Linked DNA regions of Daphnia pulex. The protein of the gene in region 2 purifies or fractionates together with the protein of the main gene of each other region. This does not show direct contact. Links are inferred from orthologs where the notes say so. Each region holds a gene or a part of one and is shown on either strand. Other genes may lie near its edges.

Evidence for each region.
Region 1: the proteins of heat shock protein 83 (region 2) and activator of 90 kDa heat shock protein ATPase homolog 1-like fractionate together in Caenorhabditis elegans (co-fractionation; 3 studies listed by BioGRID, with this or other methods). This does not show direct contact. The link is inferred for Daphnia pulex from reciprocal best matches to the Caenorhabditis elegans genes hsp-90 and ahsa-1.

What each region holds. Positions count from the first base shown.
Region 1 is NC_060018.1:236,865-240,899, reverse strand, and holds activator of 90 kDa heat shock protein ATPase homolog 1-like, read left to right. Parts: upstream 1-1,559; 5' UTR 1,560-1,738; coding exon 1,739-1,818; intron 1,819-1,882; coding exon 1,883-1,962; intron 1,963-2,025; coding exon 2,026-2,135; intron 2,136-2,197; coding exon 2,198-2,405; intron 2,406-2,495; coding exon 2,496-2,821; intron 2,822-2,879; coding exon 2,880-3,016; intron 3,017-3,084; coding exon 3,085-3,172; 3' UTR 3,173-3,375; downstream 3,376-4,035. Other genes in the region: sepiapterin reductase-like, read right to left, coding at 68-532; uncharacterized protein LOC124188718, read right to left, coding at 654-979, 1,041-1,224; roundabout homolog 2-like, read right to left, coding at 3,989-4,035.
Region 2 is NC_060026.1:16,238,354-16,242,883, reverse strand, and holds the start of heat shock protein 83, read right to left. Parts: upstream 2,854-4,530; 5' UTR 2,341-2,853; intron 2,202-2,340; coding exon 1,939-2,201; intron 1,875-1,938; coding exon 1,583-1,874; intron 1,515-1,582; coding exon 885-1,514; intron 818-884; coding exon 1-817. UniProt on the Caenorhabditis elegans protein: Molecular chaperone that promotes the maturation, structural maintenance and proper regulation of specific target proteins involved for instance in cell cycle control and signal transduction. Undergoes a functional cycle that is linked to its ATPase activity.

The DNA.
Region 1 (4,035 bases), on a different chromosome or scaffold from region 2:
TAGACGGATGGGGCCCCAGTCAAATAGGCGGGCAAAAAAGGATCGATACTAATCGGATTTATTATACCTTGAAAAACATGTCCCGTCCAGCTTTGCCGGTGCAGTAGAGCGACAGCGACGAAAACGGTTCCACTCCGCAGAGGGAGGACATGTTGACGACCGTTTTGCGCTGCTGGACTGGGCTGGAGGCGAAGCGGCGCAAGAAAATCGCATTGAGAACGACGACGGAAGCCAAATTGAGCTGAAAGTATTGGACGCACGAGTTCACCGAGACCAGATCGGTGCAACGCTTGGTAGCGTCGCCCAGCGATCCGGCATTGTGGACGCACAATGCGTGGGCAAAGGACTCGGCCGATTCACCAGCCAAAGCAGATGAGACGACACCATTCAAAGCCGACTCGTCACAGCTGGATAAGTCAGTCACGCCGACATGAACTCGCACTGACGGTCGATCGGTTTCGATGGCCTTCTGTAACGAATCCAAATCTTTTTCGTCACGGGAAATCAGCAAAAGGACAGAGTCCGCGCCCATTTGTTTCGATATTTTCTCAGCCAGAGTCCTCCCTATGCCACGACTGGCACCAGTCACTATGGCAAAGGTTTTCTGATTCCAGTAACACGACTCATCCATTCTTCTTCTATTCATATGATGGTTACTCTTGCTGGTTGTTAGTCTCTGGTGTGTCTTCCTCAGGAGTATTTTCTTGCAACTGATCTGCCTTTAAGAGATGGACCAGCTCTCCAGTTGTCACTGCTTGCAAGTGAGGTGCTACGTGCCGAATCACTGTGCCAGACAGAGACTCCTCGACAGGACAATCAAAATTTTCAATTTCACCCAAGCCTTGCAACTGAGAAAACTGTGAATTCAATAAACGGTCAATGTGGCCCTCACGAGCTCCTGCCAGAGACAGCAGCAAATCTCTTTTCTCAGCCCCACTGTTTGATGAAGGGGTTTTCCGTAATTTGCACAACTTCTTTTCTGAAAGGGAAATCACATGTAACCCAAAAGAACAAACAAAATATACATGTGGATCACATACCTAAATTCTCCAAATAAGTAGAAGAGTCGGGTAATGGCTGGAAAGATTCGTTGGAAGAATCGACTTTATTGTCTTTGGAATCAGCTGATGGACAAAAGTTATTGTCAAAGTGCAGGTGAAATTCGTTCGGTTCAACAGATGAGGTGATATTTCCATCAACAGTGCTTTCCCAAGGGTCATCCATTCAGCACAGTCTGAATGGGAGATAATCGGGACGTTGATAAATTATAGAAACACAAATTCGTGTTAACCGTCAACTAAACAAAAGAAACATTTACCGATAGGTATTCTACCGCCGAAAGAAACGTGTCACCCACACCCCGATAAGATGGCGCTGTCCTCTCAGGGTAATCGAGAAAACTTTAGAAATAAACCGGTTTTCACTGTTATTAAGATGTATATATTTAGAAAATTATATTTTGTATAAAATAATTAATTATTTAAATACACATCGGATTATTTATTCACATTTTAAAATTCATTCAACAAATAGCAGACGAAATCTAGTTGTTACGTCAATTGAAAGATGGCACTCGACTTTTCGAGCATGTTTTAGAACTTTCTGGTTAAAATACTAGTAGATCCTTACCGATCCTTTATCCTTGTTTCTCTGCTCGCACTCGAGTGCAGATCATACAGTCCTGTCGTAATTGTAGTGCCAGTTGAAGTTCGCTTGTGTTTTCCTAATTGGAATAACGATGGCCAAGTGGGGCGAAGGAGATCCACGGTGGATCGTCGAAGAGAGGCCAGATGCCACTAATGTGAATAACTGGCACTGGTAAGTATATCTACCGGAACCTGCTTATACGACGGCAATTTACTAATTATACCATTGTTTACAGGACAGAGAAGAATGCATCCCAATGGTCTAAAGATAAGATTGATGAACTCTTAAATGGCCTGGAAATAAATGACATAATTGGTAACATTCATTACAATATGTTAAGACTCGAAAGTTTTACATCCGACGTTTTATATGTTTTAGGTAACTGTGTTATAACTGAAATAGAGAAGATGGAAGGAGAAGCCTCTGCTAACAATCGCAAGGCTAAACTCATTTTTTTCTTTGAATGGACCCTCCATCTCAAGTGGAGTGTAATGAATGATGAAAGGCATACAGTAGTACTCCCATATTCATAACTATCATCTTATTACAGGGGAAAGTGAGTGGTACCACTAAAAATATAGAAGGCACCGTCATCATCCCCAATTTGAGTGACGAAAACAATGCCGATGAGGTTGATGTCAACGTCACAACATCTGCTACAGGCCCTGATGCAGATGCCATGAAGCAGTTGATGCGAACTGTAGGGGCCAAAGTGATCAGAGAACAACTTGCAAAGTACATTAAAAGTTTAAAAGAAGGTTAATAACAATATATTTGTGTTTTTGTATGAAAGTTGATGTATCGTTAATGCTGATTCTTGTTTTGTTTCCCCTTTGTTGTTTCATCAGATTTTACCCAAGGTATGATTTTACCGAAAAAGGATACAGAAGTCAAAAATGGCGACAAGACCCAAGTTACCAAGGATCCCGGTGTGAAACTGCCATCTTCTGTTAGTACTCCCGATTTGAAACAATTGCAGATTGGAGTAAAGGTTGAAATGCAATCGTATACGTGCAACCAGAATTTCAAATGCCCACCAGTTGAATTGTACAACGTCCTAACGCAACCCGAATTGATGCGAGCATTTACCTGCGCCTCGGTGCAGGTCAATCCTTCGGTCGGAGGCAAATTCAATCTCTTTGAAGGCAACATAACCGGGACCTTTGTTGAACTGGTAAGTTATTCTACTTTGAAATGTGAAATGGTGCAATCGTCAATAATCTTTTCCATAGTTGCCCAACAAGAAAATTGTCCAGAAATGGAGATTTAGAACCTGGCCAGAAGGTCATCATTCGACGGTGACTATAGAACTGAAAGATGAAGGAGACTCTACGAAGTTGTCGTTGAGTCAGAGTGGAATTCCCTCTACGTAAGAAATTGAGTTTTATAATTGATGCATTCAAGTTTATATTTGAAATTTTTCTTTATTTAAAACAGCGAATTCGACAAAACTGTCGAGGGATGGCAAAGATACTATTGGGAAGCGATCAAACGAACTTTTGGTTTCGGCGCATTTCTTCTTTGATCACCGGCCAGACAAAATGACATACCTCTCCTATCGCTCTCACAAAAATCCTTTTGTCGCCTGTATTTGAGCTATTTACACTTGTCTGCTGTCATGATTAGTTCAATTCAACAATTTCTTTTTTTTTTCGGTTTTCCTTCTCTGGATCAAAGTTTGGTTACGTAATCTTGGAAGAAAATGAACGGAACCAATTCCTGATGAAACCAAATCCTCAATTATTTTTATTTACTTTCCATAATTGAAGGTGGCGCGCAAGCTGCTGTTGGGGGAAGAGGTGGGTGTAGTACAGCTCGGCGCACCGTACAGCCACGAATATTTACATCCATATAAAAATCCATTCAAATTATTACAGTCAAGAAACTGAAAGTGGGAAAGAAAACAGCCAATTAGAAACGGGTTGACCTGTTGGAAAATTATCACAGCACATTGAAAGTTTCACATCAATAGAGAGACAGAATAATAATTATATAATCGATCATATATTATATTATATGTAGTAGAAACACAAAAGGAAGGAAAGAAACGCTCACAACGCCAAAGCGATTATTATTATTTTTTTGGGGGGAGTATTTTTTCGAAATATTTAAAAGTTGAAACACGCACACACAAGTCACAAATGTTTACATGTCGAGCCTTTTGTCAAAATAATAATTCATTAGAAGAAATTGTGTTTCTTTGGTTAGCCTTTTCCAAAGGAGGGAGGATTCTCCTGGGTAGAGAGAGACGTGACTAGAGTCGAGTGTGAATGGGTAATTATTTTATATATATAATTATTACCAATTTTGGCTTTTGGCATGTCCTTAATCATGTCTCATTTCAACGATAAGACGACAGCGGGTAAGGGGGTTCGATTTGGTCATAGG
Region 2 (4,530 bases):
CGGCGGGCTCTTCCAGGGAGAAACCAGATGACAGCAGAGAGGTTTCAAACAGCAACATGACCAAATCCTTGACGGCTTTGTCGTTCTTGTCAGCCTCTGCTTTGACGCGAAGGGCTTCGATGATGGGGTGATCGGGGTTTATTTCCAGGTGCTTCTTGGCGGCCATATAACCCATGGTGGAGGTATCCCTCAAAGCCTGGGCCTTCATGATACGCTCCATGTTGGCTGTCCAGCCGTACTGGGAGGTGACGATACAGCAGGGAGACTCGACCAAACGGTTGGAAATGACGACCTTCTCGACCTTCTTGTCCAAGATGTCCTTCATGATTTTGCAGAGACCTTCGAATTTGGCCTTGTCGCTCTCGCGTTTCTTGGTTTCTTCATCATCTTCGGGGAGTTCCAGACCCTCCTTGGTGACGGAGACGAGCTGCTTGCCATCGTATTCCTTGAGCTGCTGGACGACGTATTCATCAATGGGCTCAGTCATGAAGATGACCTCCAATCCGCGCTTCTTGACAAGCTCGACGAAGGAAGAGTTGCTGACTTGATCTCTGTTCTCGCCAGTGATGTAGTAAATGTGCTTCTGGTTCTCCTTCATGCGGGAAACGTATTCCTTGAAGGAAACCTGGTCCTCTCCAGAGGCGGAAGTGTGGTAACGGATGAGGTCAGCGATCTTCTTACGGTTGGTAGAATCTTCATGAACTCCCAACTTCAAGTTCTTGCTGAATTGTTCGTAGAATTTCTTGAAGTTCTCCTTGTCCTCGGCCAACTCCTCGAAAAGTTCCATGCATTTCTTGACCAAGTTCTTGCGAATGACCTGAAGTAGAGAAAAGTAATAATTAGTTTCAGTTAACGATGTTGACAAAAGAAATAGAATAAATTACCTTCAAGATCTTGTTTTGTTGGAGCATTTCACGAGAAATGTTGAGGGGAAGATCCTCAGAGTCGACGACTCCCTTCATGAAGTTGAGGTACTCGGGGATGAGCTCCTCGCAGTTGTCCATGATGAAGACACGGCGGACGTACAACTTGATGTGGTTCTTCTGTTTGCGGTTCTCAAACAGATCGAAAGGTGCACGACGTGGGACGAAGAGGAGAGCGCGGAACTCAAGCTGGCCTTCAATGGAGAAATGCTTGACAGCAAGATGATCCTCCCAGTCATTGGTCAATGACTTGTAGAACTCTCCATATTCTTCCTGGCTGATGTCATCGGGATTGCGAGTCCAGATGGGCTTGGTTTTGTTGAGCTCCTCATCGACAGAGTATTTCTCCTTGATGGTCTTCTTCTTCTTCTTGTCTGTTTCCTTGTCGGCTTCTTCATCCTCACCAACATCTTCGACCTTTGGTTTCTCCTCATTCTCGTCCTTCTTTTCTTCCTCCTCAGCCTCATCGTCGCTCACTTCCTTGTCGCGCTCCTTCTCGACCAAAAGCTTGATTGGGTAGCCAATGAACTGCGAGTGCTTCTTGACAACCTCCTTGACTTTCTTCTCCTCCAGGTAATCCATTTGATCTTCCTGCAAATTAAAGAAAAAACAAATATTAGCATACAGGAAATTAAGCCAGCGAAGACAAAGAAACATACCTTCAAGTGGAGGACAATCTTGGTTCCTCTACCCATGGGTTCTCCGTGATCAGGCTTGATGGTGAAAGAACCACCAGCTGACGATTCCCAAACGTACTGCTCATCATCATTGTGCTTGGAGTGAACTGTCACCTTGTCGGCAACCAGGTATGCAGAGTAGAAACCCACACCAAACTGGCCAATCATGGAGATGTCAGCTCCGGCAGAGAGGGCTTCCATGAAAGCTTTGGTTCCAGACTTGGCAATGGTACCCAAGTTGTTAACCAAATCAGCCTTGGTCATGCCGATACCACTAAAGAAGACACAGTACAGTTAAATAATTGCTCTAATCAGAAAAACTTGACTTCTAAACTTACGTATCACTGAGAGTGAGGGTACGGTCATTCTTGTTGGGGACAATCTTGATTTCAAGATCCTTGCCGCTGTCCAACTTGCTAGGGTCAGTCAGGGATTCATAACGGATCTTGTCTAGGGCATCTGAGGAGTTGGAGATCAACTCACGCAAGAAGATTTCTTTGTTTGAGTAGAAGGTGTTGATGATCAAGCTCATAAGCTGAGCAATCTCGGCCTGGAATGCGAAAGTCTCGGCTTCGGCTTCCATTTGAACTTCTTCAGGCATCTAAACACAGACAAATATATTTAAGTTAGAAACGTTTGTCAATCGTGGTACATTAGACTCAATAATTCAAATTCAAAATATTTTTGTACTAGCGGCATATCAAAAAATGAGTAAATGAGCAATTATTTTTTAAACTTACTTTGCTTTAGAAGATAATTAAACAAGAACACAAGATTGTTTGCAAGAATGGTCTCGTGGAGAGTTTTTCCCGTGTGGAGATGCGATGTTTTTCGCTCAATCGCCGGTTGAAGACTGTGAAGAGTCGAACACGAGGGAGGCCTTATATCAAAGAGGGACCCGGGGAATCCAACGTTGTAGTAGTGGAAGCTACTAGAACAAACCATAGGGGAGGAGGGGGTTCGAATTCTCTCGAAAAATCGAGAATGTTCCTTACCGAAGGAAGTCTTGGTGTTGCCGCTTTCAAACAATTACACACAAACTCATTCAATTTACCTTATTTTTAATTTTTAAATTCACACAAATTCTGTATATTTCTCAAGTATTGGTGGAATTTGAATTTTGAGTGGCTACTGATATTTTTTGAATTATTTAAAATGTTTTCCAAAAAATCGACACCGAGTCTACCGACCATGTGTTTTGACGGATCGTTGATTCGGTGTTCGTAACCGTTTTTAACCGTCAATTCAAGTCCCATCTGCTGTCTAATGCATCTGTTTGTATGAGTTGGTCTGGGATTATCATATTACCAACCAGTTGACACATGCTTACTAATTTTGACTAATAATATCATGTAATGAAATGTTTCAGTTTTTTCTGCATTATTGCTTTTTTCGTAAATAATGCATTCTTGCTTGTAAGAAACGGTGAAATCATAGTTCACCTTTTGCCTTTGTAATAGCGAGTCGAGATTCGAGAAACGTCTAGAAAGCCTCACGTCTGGTAAACCCCACGTGGTTTTTCTTCTTCAGAAATCTTTTGTTCACTCAGTCGATAAGATTACAACGAGTTATAAAGTTTGTAAACCTGTACAACAAAATTCTTGTTGTTATAAATTTTGTACAGAAAAAAAATAAAGAAGATTTTTTTTTTAATTCTTCAGCTTCAGGCAAAACAATTTAATTCAGGTGACAGATAGGAATGCCCTTTAAAGCCTTGAAGTAAACAGAAGCTTGACATTGAGTTCTCCAAGAGCAATTTTATCTTGTGGAATTCACATTAAGGTTTTTACTGAATTTCACCTATGGCGTGTGACTCATAACGAGATTTTGACTAAGAAATTATCATTCTTTCCTTCCAGGCTTCCAGGAAACTTGTTCGTATTTATATCGAAACAGATATTTTCCTTGAATTTAGGCCCCAACGTCGAATGCTGCAGTGCGGCATTAGACACAGGTTTACACACACCGAGTTCCTCTGTTGGGTTTCCTCTATGTCAATGGCCTAGGTTGCCGAACCCAATTCCCTTGTAGAGATCAAGGAATGAAGGTGTGTCATATCAACGTTGCGTAATTGACCTCCAATTGTTGTTATTTATTGCCATTAACCAACTCCCAACATTTTAATCGTAAATGAACTTTATGTAGTAATTATGAGTCGCAAAGGGTGTGACGATTTTAAGATGATGGTAGGCTGTGTGGTGCAAGATGGACTTCCAGCAGTCAAACTCAAACCATCTGGTTTAATTATTTTTATCACAGGTGAGTAGTGACAGGTGTCAGAACTACCAGTGCGCACAATGCACGAACCATGAAATATCTATGAACGTTTCAACACAATATAATTAATTGTTTTAAATAAAAGGCTTTGATGATGTTAGCAAACGATCAATTAATCGATTTCTAAATTAACAGATATCGGAAAAAATTAAATGAGAAAACCTGCAAGATTGTTTGCAAGTTTTGTTCAGAGGAAAACATTTTCTGTCTGCTGGTGTATATTTTATTATTTTGCTTCCTTAATCCTTATCGTTGTTTGGAAGTTGGAAACTTAAAAGATTAGCAGTTTTTACTGGCTGAAAAAAATTTTGAAAGCTATTCTTACTTTTGCTTGTGTAATAAGATGAGATTTTCAAATCAAAACTGTCAATAACAATTCAAGTAGTTAAATGTAGAAAATGCTTTTTTTGTTACATGCAAGTAAGAGTAATTCTTTTAAAATTCAACAAAGTATGTAGAAAAAATTCTACTCAAAACAAAACTGATTAATCAATGATTTTTTGTTGAAAACGATTTTCAAATTGAATCAAATTTGCGCCATCGTTATTCCGCGCAATTTTTCTTTCTTTCTCCGTGGGCGAATTGGTTGAAAAGCTTGCGGGGGTTACTTTTCCGGTCCTTTCGGCTTACTTGGAACTTGTACGTGGCCTTAT